Linked DNA regions of Schizosaccharomyces pombe. The protein of the gene in region 1 binds, or shares a complex with, the protein of each later gene. Each region holds a gene or a part of one and is shown on either strand. Other genes may lie near its edges.

Evidence for each region. Proteins that work in one complex are often made in the same cells at the same time.
Region 2: rsc7 (region 1) and rsc9 share a complex: the UniProt entries of both Schizosaccharomyces pombe proteins name them as parts of the RSC complex.
Region 3: rsc7 (region 1) and rsc4 share a complex: the UniProt entries of both Schizosaccharomyces pombe proteins name them as parts of the RSC complex.

The regions. Positions count from the first base shown.
Region 1 is NC_003421.2:1,386,318-1,392,589, forward strand, and holds rsc7 (RSC complex subunit Rsc7), read left to right. Parts: upstream 1-2,387; 5' UTR 2,388-2,480; coding exon 2,481-3,653; 3' UTR 3,654-5,771; downstream 5,772-6,272. Other genes in the region: akr7 (pyridoxal reductase), read left to right, coding at 485-1,486. UniProt on the Schizosaccharomyces pombe protein: Component of the chromatin structure remodeling complex (RSC), which is involved in transcription regulation and nucleosome positioning. Controls particularly membrane and organelle development genes.
Region 2 is NC_003423.3:2,914,031-2,919,485, forward strand, and holds rsc9 (RSC complex subunit Rsc9), read left to right. Parts: upstream 1-2,227; 5' UTR 2,228-2,241; coding exon 2,242-2,354; exon of another isoform or gene 2,355-2,407; coding exon 2,408-4,637; 3' UTR 4,638-4,937; downstream 4,938-5,455. Other genes in the region: GINS complex subunit Sld5, read right to left, coding at 1-190; pop4 (Rnase P/MRP subunit), read right to left, coding at 840-988, 1,061-1,565; syo2 (ARM-like repeat-containing protein), read right to left, coding at 4,938-5,455. UniProt on the Schizosaccharomyces pombe protein: Component of the chromatin structure remodeling complex (RSC), which is involved in transcription regulation and nucleosome positioning. Controls particularly membrane and organelle development genes.
Region 3 is NC_003423.3:1,086,739-1,091,534, forward strand, and holds rsc4 (RSC complex bromodomain subunit Rsc4), read left to right. Parts: upstream 1-2,226; 5' UTR 2,227-2,449; coding exon 2,450-2,452; exon of another isoform or gene 2,453-2,500; coding exon 2,501-2,583; exon of another isoform or gene 2,584-2,643; coding exon 2,644-4,186; 3' UTR 4,187-4,296; downstream 4,297-4,796. Other genes in the region: F1-ATPase gamma subunit atp3, read left to right, coding at 1-182; cyclin-dependent protein kinase regulatory subunit Suc1, read right to left, coding at 1,533-1,640, 1,692-1,836, 1,952-2,040; SIN3 family co-repressor, Clr6 and Rpd3L histone deacetylase complex subunit Pst3, read right to left, coding at 4,360-4,796. UniProt on the Schizosaccharomyces pombe protein: Component of the chromatin structure remodeling complex (RSC), which is involved in transcription regulation and nucleosome positioning. Controls particularly membrane and organelle development genes.

The DNA of each region.
Region 1 (6,272 bases):
GATCAAATTATAAAATGATCTAAAAAACTCAAGCACCCATGATATGAACCGTAAAAAACCTTTCCTTTTTCAGAGACCTGGGTACAGAAACTTGATCACGGTTTATTATAGATAAGGGCCACTGTAAAAACATAATTCAAAAAAATATAAATCAATGTTATCTAAAAAAGCAGAGAAATAAGAAATTTCACTAATCAACAGTAAACGTGTGGGAAAGGTTGAATGTTGTAAGACTAGCGTCACATCCCTCCAAATTATAAATCAGAACAAAATTTATACTGACGCTCACGAAATACAAATTACTGAAGATTCATAAACAGACGATATTTTCCTTGATTTTTGTTTCAAGTTGGTTTTCCCCATTTTGAAACTATTTGGTATACCAATTGCACCAGAACTGAAAGTATAGTAGACATTTACTTTTCGTGAGAATTAGAGAATTTCTTAAAATTATTTTTCTTCTCGATTTGACTGTCATTTCACAATGCCTATTGTGAACGGTTTTAAAGTAGGACCTATTGGCTTAGGCCTTATGGGTTTAACTTGGAGACCCAAGCAAACTCCCATTAAACAAGCCTTTGAGTTAATGAATTACGCCTTGTCCCAAGGTTCGAACTATTGGAATGCTGGAGAATTCTATGGCATCAATCCTCCTACTGCCAATTTAGATTTGTTGGCTGATTATTTTGAAAAGTATCCAAAAAATGCCGATAAAGTATTTTTATCAGTTAAGGGAGGAACAGATTTTAAAACACTCGCTCCCCATGGAGATCCTGAATCAGTGACTAAGAGTGTAAAAAATGCACTTACTCGTTTACGTGGAAAGAAAAAGCTAGATCTCTTCCAATGTGCCCGAGTTGATCACAAAGTTCCAATTGAAACTACCATGAAAGCATTGAAGGCTTTTGTAGACTCAGGAGAAATTTCATGTGTCGGTCTTAGCGAGGCTTCTGCTGAAAGCATCAAACGCGCCCTTGCCATCGTGCCTATTGCGGCAGTCGAAACCGAATACTCTCTATTCTCACGAGATATCGAGAAAAATGGCATTCTCGATACTTGTACACAGCTCTCTATCCCAATAATCGCTTACGCGCCTTTCTGTCATGGACTTTTAACTGGGCGTGTCAAGACTGCTGAAGATCTTAAAGACTTTATCAAAGCATTTCCCTTCTTACGGAATATGGACAAGTTTAATCCAAAAGTTTTTGAAAAAAATATCCCGTTTCTTAAAGCAGTCGAGCAATTGGCTCAAAAGTTTGGTATGAGTATGCCTGAATTCGCTCTTAACTTCATTATTGCAAACGGAAAAGGCATGATCATTCCTATTCCTGGATCTACAACTGTTCAACGAGCTGAGAGCAATCTTAGTGCACTCAAGAAATCTTTGAGTTCAGAACAACTTGAAGAGGCTAAAAAAGTTTTGGATAAACATCAAATCTTTGGACTTCGTTACAACAAACAACTTGAATCCACCCTTTCCATCTGAGCATGATTTTAGCAACTTCACCGATTTGAGTTTTTTATTTAATATTTGCATTTAACCTTAACTCCTCTCTAGATTTAGATGTATACATGCTGTGTCATCCTATCGGCATCAATACAATAAAATATTTCTTTAAAAACTAAGACTGTAGTCTTTGAGTTTATTCACACCTTTATATATTATTCTCTATTGTCAGTGATTTATCTTACACTGTGTAAAAAATAGAAAGTAAGGTAGTGTAAGGAACAAGAAAACTTTCAATAAGCTTTGGGTATAATTGAATAATCAGAAACTTCCTTTACACAGAATAATCATGACTTTGGTGACACAATTTTTTAGAATGTCAACTGCTCTGCATAAAGTAATTTAGGAACGAAATTGTAGCCTTGATATAAATTCAACCCTAAAGTATTATGATGGTCTACGGTTATTTCGGTCTAGTCGACGATGCACAAAATGAGATGTCAATAAGCGCGATGCTTCAATCATTTTCTTGAAACTTATTTTAATCAATAGGAATTATCTACAGATAGGTTACGCTCGATTATTAATTGCGATAAGAATTTACATTGAATTGGTTGCCAAGGCTGGAGATTCATTTTTGAATTCAATACAACAATGAAAACCCAACGTATTATGGTGCTTCAAAAAGCGGTGTAGTAGAAAGTATTTTATTTAACTGCTAGTATCTTCTACGACTGACAATCGTTACTCATTTCTTAGGTGTTTTCAATCCTGCATCTAGGAAGACGATCATCATTCTTACTCTTATTGTTTCCGCCAATATGCTTTTGATATTTAGTTATCTAAATAGTAGGCTGCTTGTATCAGTATAACATGTAGCACCAAGGTATGCGTTACTAACAGTAGGATGGGTTTAGTGGTAGTTGTGCTAACTATAACCAAACTCACCACCAAAAAAAGCAATTTTTAACACAGTGCTATTCAGTACGATAAGATTGAACTGTTTATGGAATAAACACCTTGCAATTAAAGTATGGATTCTACGGCTGGCTCCGATGCTTCCACTCCTACAAATCACACGGTAAGCTCGAAGAAGCGAAGAGGACGCCCTCCTAAGGGTAGTTACGCCGCATATGGAAGTAGTGATGATGATGATGAAGAATACTCTGGGCGTACGCGTCGTAGAAATCGTAATACTCGCCCTAGAGTTTCAGCGCCGTCTTCTAGCTCAACAGTAGTACCGAAGGATTTGTACTCACATCGGGCTACTTTGGAAGATGATGAGCTAAACTTTGGTGTAGTAGATCCAGAAGGAGAGAAAAAAGTGAATGAATTGGGGTATTTGAATGGCGGTCGAGAGTATAGATGTCGAACGTTCACGTGCTTAGGTCGTGGTAATCGATTGTATATGCTTTCCACCGAACCAGCGAGAGCAATGGGCTATAGAGATTCGTATTTATTATTTTTGAAGCATCGTTCACTGCATAAAATTATTGTTGATGATTCTGAGAAATGGGACCTTATTGAACGAAATATTATTCCTCATTCTTACAAAGGCCGTGCGGTAGGTATTGTTGCTGCTCGTTCTATCTTTCGTGAATTTGGTGCTAGAATCATCGTTGGTGGTCGACGAATTGTAGACGATTACTGGGAAGGAGAATTCCGCGCTCGTGGTTTCGTCGAAGGAGAATTAGCTGATCCAGACGATAAATTGCCTCCTCCCGGTATGCCATACAATCGAAATCAATACGTCGCTTGGCATGGAGCTAGTGCAGTATATCACCCGCAGCCTTCACTAGAAGCTCAGCTGCCTGCAGCTGCTCGAAAAAGAAAAAAGGAACCTCCAAAAGATGCCACATGGCTTTTTCAACATGCTAAAGCAACTGCAGCTTACAATAATGATATTACAAAATACCTTGTTCAAAAACAGGATATCGGTTATTTTGAACCACATACTAACTTGTTGCATGTTCCCCTTAATACCCAACCTACAAAAACCCATTGGATTCAGGCAAAGACTGGTACGGAATGTCCTGCACCTAAATTGGATATTCTCGTTGCTCTTAACTCGGATGTGGCTCCACAGGTGTCTATTGCAAATATCCCTCCCTCCGTTTATGCGAGTTGTCCACTCCACGTTCAAGAGGCTATTCGCAAACGTCAAGAACAAGAGATTCGTAGTATTCGTTTGAATAGCATGTACTAGAGTGCTCGTTTTCTTTTAATCCTATTTTGTTTTGGATGTTTTATAATATTAATTTTCAGATTGTATACAGTCATTTATCACACGTACGACGTAAGCCCGAATTATCTTCTTACTCGAGTTATTTACGGAGAAAACATGCGTTAACGAAATCCAAAACTTGTTAATCAATTACTTTAGTACTTTGTTTTTGCTTAGTAAAGCGGAAAAAAAGATATTGTCTACAAAAATCAGATGTACATTCAACAAAACTATTAAAGAAATGATGGCGCGACGTTTCCATTGAATGAAACGTTTACCAACCGAAACCAATCGATTAGCTTGTATCCTCTCACTTGTCCTAATCGGTCCAGCCGAGGGCGAAGAATATTATGGAGGATTGTTTGATGAATTATTGGGCATGGTCAGGTCGTAGGTTAAAAACTTTAGGTAAGTCAAAACGTGGCTTTGGCGAAGGAGTATTTGTGAGAAGAACGATTGCTGTTATAATGAATATTAAATAAGCAAAACCGATCACCATCCACATTATAAAGAAAAAACCATTGAATCCCTTCAAATAATACACCAGGTCGACAATATAAGCAACCAAGTGGAGGACAAGGAAAACATACCCGAATTGTCGAAGAATGATAAACTTCTTCATCGTCGCCTGGGTGTACATTTTATATGTGAGCTCACCTCTTACTGCTATCCTGTCGTACCCTGCCATGATGATGAAACCGAGAGAAGTAGATATTCGTGTAACGTGCTTCAAAAAAAAAGAGCGTTTTAAGCAGACGAGAACGGTAAATAAAAAAATGGCTCTTCACGACAAATAAAAAAAAAAGAATGGACTAATTTTCAAGTCCAAGGTGTGTCGCAAAATGTATCTCATCAATATTAAATAGTGAGATCATTCGACGTAATAAATCTTCTATGGACTGAAAGCTATGATTTTTTTGGCATTTTACATTCATCCATTTCCTTGTGTCCTAAGATTTTTTGTTTACTTAGTCTGTTTTGATTACGAAGCAATGAGTGCAAGAGGATCCATTTAACTGCAAGAATTTCGATCACAACTTCCAAACGTCGAGTGCAGAGAATGGATTGACAAACAAAGTTATTATTCTATAAAAGACCAAACTGATAATTTTACTGTTTTTATCTCTTTTCATTGCGGATACAATGTGCTTTACCGCTTTATCATTTTTATAGTAACTATTGAATCATCGAATCTGGAAAATGGTACAGATTTATCACTCGTTGCTGTTGCCGATTTCATCTTTAACACTATCAATATTGTATCTATTATTGCCATGATTTTTTATACTCTTAAAAAGTTCGATATTGAAATCACTAGAGAAGTAATGGATTATTTTACAAGATATTTTGACGGACAGAAATTGAAGAAAAATAACGTATAAATTCAATCATTTAGTCACCTTATTCAATGTTTTTCTAAGAAACAACGCTTCAGCATACTAGCTTTAATGGAAAAATTAACGAAATTCAAGTTTCCATAGAATGGGTGGTGAAGTATGAGAACACATAAGCTGTTAAACTTACAAAATTAGCTTTTAGGAAATTACCAAAGAAAAAAAATCTCAGAAGGAAGAAGCTCAATGTGAATTGCTAATCACCGCAATAAAACTTATTTGGCATTCATTCCGTGACGTTGATCAGGTTCAGTCATAAAGACTGGAGTGTATTTATAGAGGATCATTAGATATATTTTCATCATCGGTCTGACTCTTTGGCTCAAGGCATTGCTTATGAGGAATTTGGTTGACTAGAAAACCTAAGGAGCTGCCAATAATTGATTTGAGGATTATGTTATTAATTTTACATTTTTGGGACCTTCAAATTTTTAAAGTGCATTCATCTTGCTCATATTTTGTATAAAGTTAACAGTGGACCAAGGTTGGAGCACGCCGTCTGCCGGAACTGACATAATACTGAACAGCATAAACTTCATAGTTGTTTGTGTCGTGTTTATTTTTGGTACTTATAAACTCAATATTCTTTGCAAAAAACATGAGCTAGATGAATATTGAGAGATTTCTGAAAAAGCCGTAGTATGAAGAATGAATTTTTATATACAATTTTGAGTCTACAAATAAAATGTACACGTATCCCGCCTAATACCATTTTTGTAAAGTGACTTGTATAGTATTGTTGAGAACAACAAAAATGGAAATGCCCGCTCAATTTCTTTTAACTTTGTGCAAAAGAATAAATAGTGTCCAGTAGCTTACAATTGCAATAAAGAAGAATTTAACTTTTATAACTTGAGATGAAACAAAAATAGATAATTAAATAAGCAATAATAATAAAAAAGAAACGAGAATCTCGAATTTTCAAAGTTTTAACTACCATACTCATTTCGTCTCGACAAGCTGTTTTGTGTTGATAATTTAAATTGTTTAATTATGAGAAATTAAAAGTCTAAGCACTGTAAGTTGACTGAAGTAAAAAGAGTTACTTTCGAAAACGACTCTATTCAAAATCCCTACATCGTATTCATTCAATAACGACTACCGCTGTAAAACCCAAATAATCATTCATTACTTTAATTAACAATCATCATACAAAACAGATTTTTTATAAAGAATTTTAAAAGGATTAAAAATGCATTATATTATT
Region 2 (5,455 bases), on another chromosome or scaffold:
TTCCAATGGCCAATTGTAGAGTTTCTCGTTGTGCTTCAATTCTATCAAGAACTCTGCTTACAATTTCTTCAGCAAAAGGCAACAAATCCGGAGCCATTCGCTCATTCACCCATTGAGTACATAAATCCTCATAATCATTCTCCACTTCTGTTGTCGGTTCTATTAGCAAATCATCAGCATCCCACTCCATCCATAAAAAATATACAAGGATGCTCAAATCACGAAGGCAAATGAGACCTTGTTGTAAAGCTACAAGCTTTTACTCAAGATATGTTAGTAGTTTACATAGCACTTAAATCAGTCCAATTGCAGAGGTAACAAGTTACTTACGTCCCTTTTCAAACAAAAATCCCAAAAGCATATCTTGCTCTTAAACGACTTTGACATAATCTTCGTTTTATCCTATGCATTCCATTCACTTGTCTTAGTTATCGTACACTTCAGTAACATCTTATATTATTGCCCGTGAATCAAAAAATCGAAGGCTATAATCTTATAGCGAAGAATTGCATAAAGGCGCGATTTATCACTTATACTTTAGAAATTCAGTAAACGAAAATTAGTATTAAAATGTTGGATCAATAAATACAATGGAAAAAGATCTGTGCTCTGAAAGTATTTTAGAGACTGGCGTCGTTTAAGCTCTACAATATACAGCAAACATACAATATTGCCAAGTATGAACAAGTTATTGTCTACACTGCGTGCTCTGTAAGCAATATTAAGTATTTGTACGAAATTGCCAATATATATACACTAATAAAAAGAAACCACTCTAGTATTCCATTTCAATCAATCGCAAGTACGATTCTCTAAGAGAATCACGTAATTAACAACTTTCAGAGATCTATTGTATTTTTCGATTTAAAACGCTTATTCGATCTATCACCTGCTCTCAATAGTAAATGTTGAGTATACAATTCAAAAACAAGTTTCCTTTGGGGAACATCAACGATAACTTTCATAACAGAATCTTGTTTGGGAACACCTAGACGAATTAGTAAAAAGTTACTCAGCAAAGATATTTTTCAAAATACAATGTTTTGAAAATGGTACTTACGAACAACCCTGTTTTCTTTAGTAATTAAAGAGAGCATATGTTTACTTTCGTGGATACAAATACCTTCAAGTCCGACTCGCGTAGTACTTTTACTCCGAAGAACTTGCATATATGCACCTTGATATTCTGCTTTTGCTAATTTGGCCATTAAAGATTCACCTGTGCATCCTGCTATCACTTCTAATATGTAAGAGCACCACATGGAATGTAAATGTTTGAATTGGCTATAGTCAGCAATCTTTGGAACAACATTTAATTGCAGCTTTTTTTTCTCCTTTGAAGACAACTTTTTCCTTTTCTTTGAAGCAACCGACTCTTTTCGATCTCCTTGTTTTTCTAAGTTTAGAGAAGGGACAAGTAAAAGCGGTTTGAAAGCAATTTTTTCGTTTATAACATTTTTTGCCTCTTCAGGTGTTAGGATTTTTGTTTGAAATACCAGGGATTCGGGTGTCACTTTAGAAGTTGAATTGACAGTTTTCAACGAAGAGTATAGTGGATCAGCCATTCAGTACAAATGGATTGTCTTTTGAACGTAAAGGTAATAATAATTAAAGGAATAGCAAGTTATATCTGTTGTATTATTTTACGAAAATTGCTCCATTTGGCAAGTCTAGATATTTGGTGGTAAAGGTAATATGTGAGACTTTTTTTATACTTTTGTACAGCAAGATACTACTTCCAAAGTAATAATACAATTTGGCCCCCGTTTGAGAACTTTTACCCCACTAGAGACTAAAGATATATACCATCAAGGTCATATACACTTTGCAAAATTACAAAACATCGTTAGACTGCGATAAGCATTTTCTGTACTCAGTACATTCTCTTAAGTAGATGATATGAATAAACAAGTGTAGATTAGTCACAAAAACAAGTTTATTTAATAGACAGTTGAAAGATAAAACGGAAATAATGGATATGAAATTTTATTTAAAAATCAAAATTCAAAGAAAGCTTGTTGTATCGGTAGAACCAGTTACTCATACAAAGAAGAACATGGGGACATGTAATACATTTAATACAGCATAGTATAGTGAAATGTAGTGTTCGTTGTTGTAAATTGCCTACCCCATGTATTCATTTCAACTGCCCAAGGTCTCCCCCACTTAGTATTTCGAAAAGTTGTGAAAGGTTTCGTTATACTACTTTTGACCACCTACTTACTTTACGACGCGCGCTTCATGTCACAAGTCATTCAGGGAGCAGTAGAAGAGCCGGTTTATAGTAATAAATCATTGACAAACGAAAATGACTCTTTCTTAAGCCTAATTGAGTCTTTCTCCCAAGAAAGAGGGTAGGTAATCCTTATTTTAATTCTCTATGTGTACCACTTCTAATCCTTTTTAGCGTTCCAATAGATATCAATCCTAAAATTGGGCGAAAACCTATTTTATTATATGAGCTTTATAAAAAGGTCATTAAACGCGGCGGTTATGATGCTGTCAGTGCGACTGAAGACGGTTGGACGAATATTGCAGAAGAATTCAATCAGTCCGACCCGGCTAGATCTGCTGGCATATTGCAAAATGTGTATTTCAAATATTTAATTTCATGGGAAATTCATGATCATTGGCACCTATTATTACCTCCTCCTTCTACGTTAGAACTAAGTGAAAACAGGCAGAACGTTCTTGAACGTGTAAAGGTTTTTAATTCTTGTTCTCCACCTAAGCCAACGAATCCAATTACCATTATAGACAATGATAAGACTCATTCTTTTAAAAAATTTTATAAAAGCCTTGTTAAGGAGGACGAAGAGAATGGTATTGAAAAAAAAATAAATGAAGCTATGAACTCTTCTGCTTCTCAACCTCTTCCAAATTCTACAAATTTTGCATCTACAACTTTTCCTTCAGTGCCCTTCCATCCCTTACCCGTGGATTCAGGTTTGCAAAAGTATATTGACCGTAATTCAAATTTGACACCTCCGGCTTTGGGTGCTGGCGTCCCTGGTCCTCCATTGCTAGTGCGTGTTGCGCTGGCCCTAAAGTCTCAGCAAGACAAAGAAGTTGACTGGGCTATTGGTCATCTTATCAAAATTTCCTTTGAAAGGCATCAGGAGTTTAAGTTGGAAAGATTACCGTCACTTGCAGAGTGTTTAGTTTACAGTCTAGGATTCCAAGTCACAAAAGCCAAGCAAGTTTCAGACCTAACAGACATTTCACTTTGTATGGATAGAGCAATCGGAATTGCTTTAGTCCTCCGTAATTCTGTCCTTAGTGTTGAAAATGCTAAGCATGTTGCCCAAACCAAACTTGTCATTTCAGTTTTAGAAGCTTCCATTCGATGTGCAAAAACGTTTAATAATTTGGAGTTTTTACACTATTGTTTGGATATTTCAGAAATGATTAGTTCATACCTTCATGTTGAGGACGAGAAAAATGTATTTTACTTGGCGCTTTGTGAGTTTCTTAATTCTTCAGATTATTCAATCTTAATTGCAACTCTTCGCACCCTTGCGCGCTTAGCTCTTAATGATCGTAACAATCGACTGCTACAAGATCTAAAATCTAATGTAATTGCAAACATAATTGCTCTAGTGGAAACGGACAATGAGGAAATTGTTGCCGCTGCTCTTGACTTTTTATATCAATATACTACCTACCGAACCAATACATCAAATCTACTTGCAAGTCAGGAAGCGTGGATGCTCGTTGATCAATTAATACGTTTAATGATGTATCAAGCCCAAGAAAGATTTATGACCGTGACAATTGAAAATAGTGAATCGAACCCTGCTGTAAAACATGAAGCCACATCTTCCATTTCTTTGCCTATGGAAGAGCTACAGCAATTGGTAGCTATGAGAGAACCTGAACGGTCTGTAAAATGGATGAGGTGTTGCTTTGAACCAAGTTCTGATGATTATGTTTTACAGACAGATATTTGGCAATTGTATTGCAGCGACATGGAACGTGCTCAGGGGCCCAATGTTATGGGTATAAGTCCTGCCGATTTTATTAAAGTATCAAGTCATGCCTTTTATAACGCCCGTGCGATGACTGTGTCGACCCCTCAATTGCCGGTTGAATACGTTATAAATGGTATCAAGCGTCGTAAATTTCCTACTTCTGTAAATGGAATGAGATATCAACCGTGTCGGTGGTGTTTAGATAGCGGGAAAGAGTGTGGGGAGCTCTTATTGGGAACTCCATTATTACATTCTCATTTACAGGAAATGCATATATTCCCACAAATATTGGAAACAGGGAAATGCAGGTGGAGCGATTGTAAATATGAAATCCAAAGGCTTACGCCTGCTTCAGAGCTGTCGCATTATCAGTTGTTGTCTCACATCGTTACGCACCTTCATGATGATTCACTAGAAACTTTGGTTGAGGGACGAAAACTATCTCCATCAAGAGAATTCCGTATCCCGTTATTACTAACAGCTGTCGATGATCAAGGCGATGCAACTGGAATTGCACTTACTGCTACTCTGGTCTTAAGAAATCTTGTACGCTCCAAACAAGGTAAGATGCTGTTTTCTGCAATTGAAAGTCGTGTTTTAGAGGTTAGTAGTTTAAATCCTGCTGTTGCACCCTATGTCAGTGAGATGCTTCTTGGTCAAATATAAATTTTGGATGGCTCGATAGTCATAACATGTCTTTTAAATCTCATTGCTAAGGTCAAGCATCTCGACATCACTTTTCATATCTCAGATTACTATGTACATATATGTCAACGACGTTTACTTGTTTTATGAAGGATGTGTGATTGGTCAATTTTCTTTTTTAAACTATTTAGTAAATGTTTTTTTCTTCTTTTGTCCAATCTAAAAGAAAAAAAGGAACCCAAGTTAATAAATGTACCACCCTAGTTAATTAAAATAATTAAAATAAAACAAACAAAAGCTAAACCTTTCAAAAAGATTGTATTATGAAGCATATTCAGCATGTTTGTAATCTATAAAAGATTCTAAATTTTCTAAAGCTTCTTCAGCACGGAACCGCAAATGCTTTTCTCGACGACGGTCAATTTTTTTCACCATATTTTTTAATCGCGGTAGGGCTTCTGAAAGTTGTGAAAGATATCCGGATCCCTTAAAAACAGGAGCATCATATGGATATGACTTATCGCCGTATACATCAAATATGGCATTCAATGCCTCCACTGCAAGTAGAGGATTTGGATCAGAAGCTATTACACATGACATTAAAGTCTGCCCAAGAAGTTGGTTTATTTGTATGTTGCCACAGCGTCCTAAACTTCCAAAGGCACCGAGCAACCTAGATTGTGCTTCCAACGAACCATGAGTCGAGCTGAATAAAATCAAGGTAGAAATATCATCTACTGAAAGAACTTGAATTTCAGCCGGAAAGGGCTTCGAGACAGACCAGAGTAGACTACAAGCCGTTGTGAAACCTTCTGAGCTAAAAGGCCAAACTCCTAAGC
Region 3 (4,796 bases), on another chromosome or scaffold:
TTTCTGCCATGGCGGAAGCTCATTGCAGTGAAATGTCATCTCGTCGTAACGCCATGGAAAATGCAAGCAAGAGTGCTGGAGATATGATTAACAAGTTTTCCATCCAATATAATCGTCAACGTCAAGCCTCCATTACTAACGAACTTATCGATATCGTTACTGGTGCAAACTCTTTGGCTTAATTCTTGATCTCTTTGGTAAGGTTCAAATGCATGTTAAGATTTTTAAATTAAAGAAGTTTGTGAAATATAAGCGCTGAAGTCAACGATATTTCTTGTCTATTTAGCTTAACTTTTTACCTTTATACCATTTGAACCGTAATTCATTGAAAACGTTCAGATTAAGCTTACCTTTTGTTCTTAATAAATTTACGTCCATCTTTTTATCGTAAGTATTTTTCATGTAGAGAATGTTGAAGAGGTTTTTGTAAAGCATGTAAGTGTGCGCAACTTAACTGAGTAGCCATTTGTGATAGCTAATATGGGCTGATCAAGCAAATTTGTTAAGATGACAGAGGAGTCCTAGTATTGTATTGTTTTAGAACTAAATTGAGTAATACATGTGGAAATTAAAGAATGGAAGCACCTGACGCAATAGATTAACAGTTGGAAATATGAGTCACAATTACTACAGATGTATCTCCATGTTTTTCTTAATAAAACACTTGGCATTGCAAAAATGTATTGATTATCTTCGCTGATTGTAAACAAATGGAGTCATGAGACATTTTTTACGTTGTTATTATAAGTATATGAAGATTTTAAACAAGCTAATCACAGCTAGTTTGAACAAAGGTAATGTTAAACTACATAACTACGGAATTTATAAATAAAAGTAAGTTTTTTTCGGAAATTTTTGTTAAGTACTATAAGTGAGTTTCTTACTAAAATTTTGTAAAGTTTGACAACATTTTTGAATAAAAGGCAACTGAATCAGTGGCATGAAACGCAAAATGTTCTAGCCTAATATACAAAATATCACTTAATGATAACGTACGTTTTCACATTTTTTAGAGAAAAATGTGCATTGTAAAGTCTGACTTAACCGATAGGGATTCATCAATTGCAAACATCTAGGAATCAATCGTCTTTGAGACGGAATGGTTTGAAGGTGAGCAGGAACCAGTAGGAGTGCTTTAAACTTCTAAAGGAGGAATGTAAAAAACTAGTTTGTGGTTGATCAAACTCTATGCTAACGTGAATGAAAAGACAGAGATTCTATATTAAACGATAAACGATAAAAAATAAAGATAAAAGAAAATAGAAAGATGATTTTGAAAGAAAATAAAAAGAACCAGTAAAGTATATCTACAGTGAAAAAAAAGTAGGAATTGCCCAAATATGTTGTTAGTCTGTAGCAAACATAAATGGCGAAGATAATTCATTATCATTTTTAGCGACTCCCACATGAAACACTCAGTGAGCTTGATAAAAAAAAGCAGCGTATTGAATGCCTAAAAAGTCAATATGTTTCGCATCCATGAACTAATATTTTTTTGATAAAGTAAAACAGAAACGTTGGAGTTGACAAACTTAACCACCCCGTTGTTGACTAAATTTCATTTGATAATCTTTTTCACGCTTAAATAGCAGGATGTGTGGCTCTGGGACATGGACTTCATACATTTCCCATCCCAGACTCTAAATAAATGTCAGTTTGTTTTTGAGCAGTTAAAATCCTTGATTACTTACTTGAGTAATTCCAAGTCCTCTCCATTCTTCTTCTTGAAGGATTCGAAGCGTTCCAGTCTCTGGATTGAAATAATCGGTGGGTATCGCTTTTAGCATTGCTTTTGGTAACATAACATGTCGATATTCATATTCATCATCAGCATATCTATTTCATCGATTAGCATTTGCTCAAATAAGATACAAGAGTCTCGTTTTAGGGGAAAACAAAGAACCTAGAGAATTCCCAAAGTATGGCAGTTTCTTTAACAATATCATCATACCTAGGAGAATAATGGATTTGATCAATGAATGGCTCTAGACGTTCACGCTCAGAAGCAGTTAAAAGACGTGGCACACCACTTTTCGACATATCTCCTCCTTAATACTCAAAAAGAATAACTTTTCTTTGAGATGGGTAAAGTATAGGATACTCTAGGACTTGGGTGATCCGTTAAAGGTCGCTAAATTTCGTTTTAGACTTAAAGTAACAGTACTCACTTTAGGTAACACACAACTTTGGGCTTCAACTCAACACTCTATACCTAAAACGAAAGTTATCGGTTGCAGAAAACAGGTTTTTTGCGCTAGCTATTTCTTTTTCAAAGCCTTTTTGGTCTATATAATAATTCCCAAAATTCAGTTTATAAAGTGAACGGTTTCTTATTGTAATTCGAAAAATTGTGTATTATTTTGGAATATACAGTCGCAAGCGGACCTAATTAAAGTTGATATACTCTATTCATTGTACATAAACGTTGCAATATAATAAATTATTTAAAATGGTATATTCTCATGTCCCGTGTTTTGTTACAACATACTAATATTTATAGGTTGATGATAGTCATAATGCCCCATTCGATAAGACCAAGTTTGATGAAGTTTTAGAAGCATTGGTGGGTTTAAAGGACAACGAGTATGTATTGAAAGGAGTTAGGTGTCGCATGTCCATTTACTAATAATTTATTTAAAATAGAGGTAATCCATTTGATGACATTTTTGAAGAACTTCCTTCCAAACGATATTTTCCAGATTACTATCAAATCATTCAAAAGCCGATTTGCTACAAGATGATGCGCAACAAGGCGAAGACTGGTAAATATCTGTCAATGGGTGACTTTTACGATGATATTCGGCTTATGGTTAGCAATGCGCAGACTTACAATATGCCTGGAAGCCTCGTCTATGAATGTTCTGTGCTTATTGCAAATACTGCTAATTCATTAGAAAGCAAGGATGGAACTTTGAATGAGGAAGAGAATGAGGAAATGGAGTCAAGCATCAACGAGGAACACAAACCTGGCACTAATGAGATTGATGTTCCAAAGGTTATTCAAAATATCTTAGATGCCTTACATGAAGAAAAGGATGAACAAGGTCGTTTTTTAATTGATATATTTATAGACCTTCCTAGCAAACGTTTGTACCCGGATTACTATGAAATTATCAAATCCCCTATGACTATAAAAATGTTGGAAAAAAGGTTTAAAAAGGGAGAGTATACGACTTTGGAAAGCTTTGTAAAAGACTTAAATCAAATGTTTATTAACGCCAAAACGTATAACGCCCCCGGAAGTTTTGTCTATGAAGATGCTGAAAAGCTTTCTCAACTTTCATCTTCCCTTATTTCTTCATTTTCCGAACAACCTAAGGAACACTCTCCTGCAACTTCAAAGCATGAACCCGAGGAAACCCCCGCATCTCCAACTCCTTCTGTATCTGCTTCAACTTCACGCGAACGTTCTACTTCAGTCGCCCCATCTTTTATAACCAGTGATCAGGCAGCCACTCCAGATGTTTTGAAGTCAGAGGAGGCTCATGTTGAAAGTTTCTCAAAAGAATCTGAAAAGGACCAAACTCCCATACCCGAAGATGTTCCATCACCCATGGATACATTATCTCAAGCTAATTACGGAGCATTTGCCCTTATTAAATCGTTTCCTTCAACTCCTGTTCCGGATTTTTTAAATTTCTCTCATAAATCGGTGATGGGTCGTAGTACTTTTAATATGCCAAATTTTCCAGAACCCAAATTTTTTGAAGACATACCTAATACTGAACGTTGCATTCTTTCTGCATTTATTTGCAGTCCTCCACAATTACCATTGCCGAATCCCCTTCGTATGTATTTGCCTTGCCCAAGCTTAAATTCTACGGAAGTTTCAGTGATTACCTTGGCCCCTCAGCATTCGTTTCTTAATATTGTTATTAACTTAAATCCTGCTCTGGCATTGAAATCATACACCATAATCACATTATTAAATGGAAAGCGTCTAGGTGCTGGCGTGTCTACTCCACCATCTACGCTGTATGCTCTTGAAGGCATAAAGCATACTGAGGAGCCGATCAGAACAGTTTACGAGGCTAAACTTTCTGTTGGTCTAAACTGCCTAGAATTTGTACTGGGTAGCACTGAACCTGTGGAACCACCTTCAATAGAACCTGGTTTACCTGCGTCGGCATATTCTCGGACTGTCGAAAGGGAACGATTTGTGTTGATGGCTTACGTCCAACCATAAGCTACACTTTTTGGATAGAGACAAAATGTATTAATACAAGGAATTAAAATAAATGGTATCATTCGTTTGAAATATGTACAGATTTATTTAATCGTAGTATGATATTAAAGTCACAATTTAACAAAATTAACTTGCTTTCAAAAAGCAAAAGGTATTTCAGGCATTTTTAAAACTTACATAGCTTCAATACATTGATCCAAAGTGGTCTCAGAAAAAAATTTGATGTCTGTATTTGCTTTGGATTTTCTCCAGCCTTCATCGCTTTCAAGCCACCTCCTCCAATTTGTAGTCCTATTTTGTTTCTTGCTTTGAGAGCTTTGATCAACCCAAAGATTGTATGAGTTTATGTAAACGTTTTCGGTATTGGGCTCAAAAAATATGACATAGGTGTCGGTTGAAAAAAACAATTGAAGGTTCGATTTGCAGAAATGTTCATTAAACAAAGAATGCAACCTACCAGAGCCTCGACCTGCGAGATAGCCTTGTTGCGATATTCGTTGAAGTGATCTTCGCAAAAATGGCATTTTAACTTGCATCAAATCGACACCTTCAGTGATATGAGAAATGGCATAGCTATCAACATAGTACATAAATGCCTTCGCAGGATTTT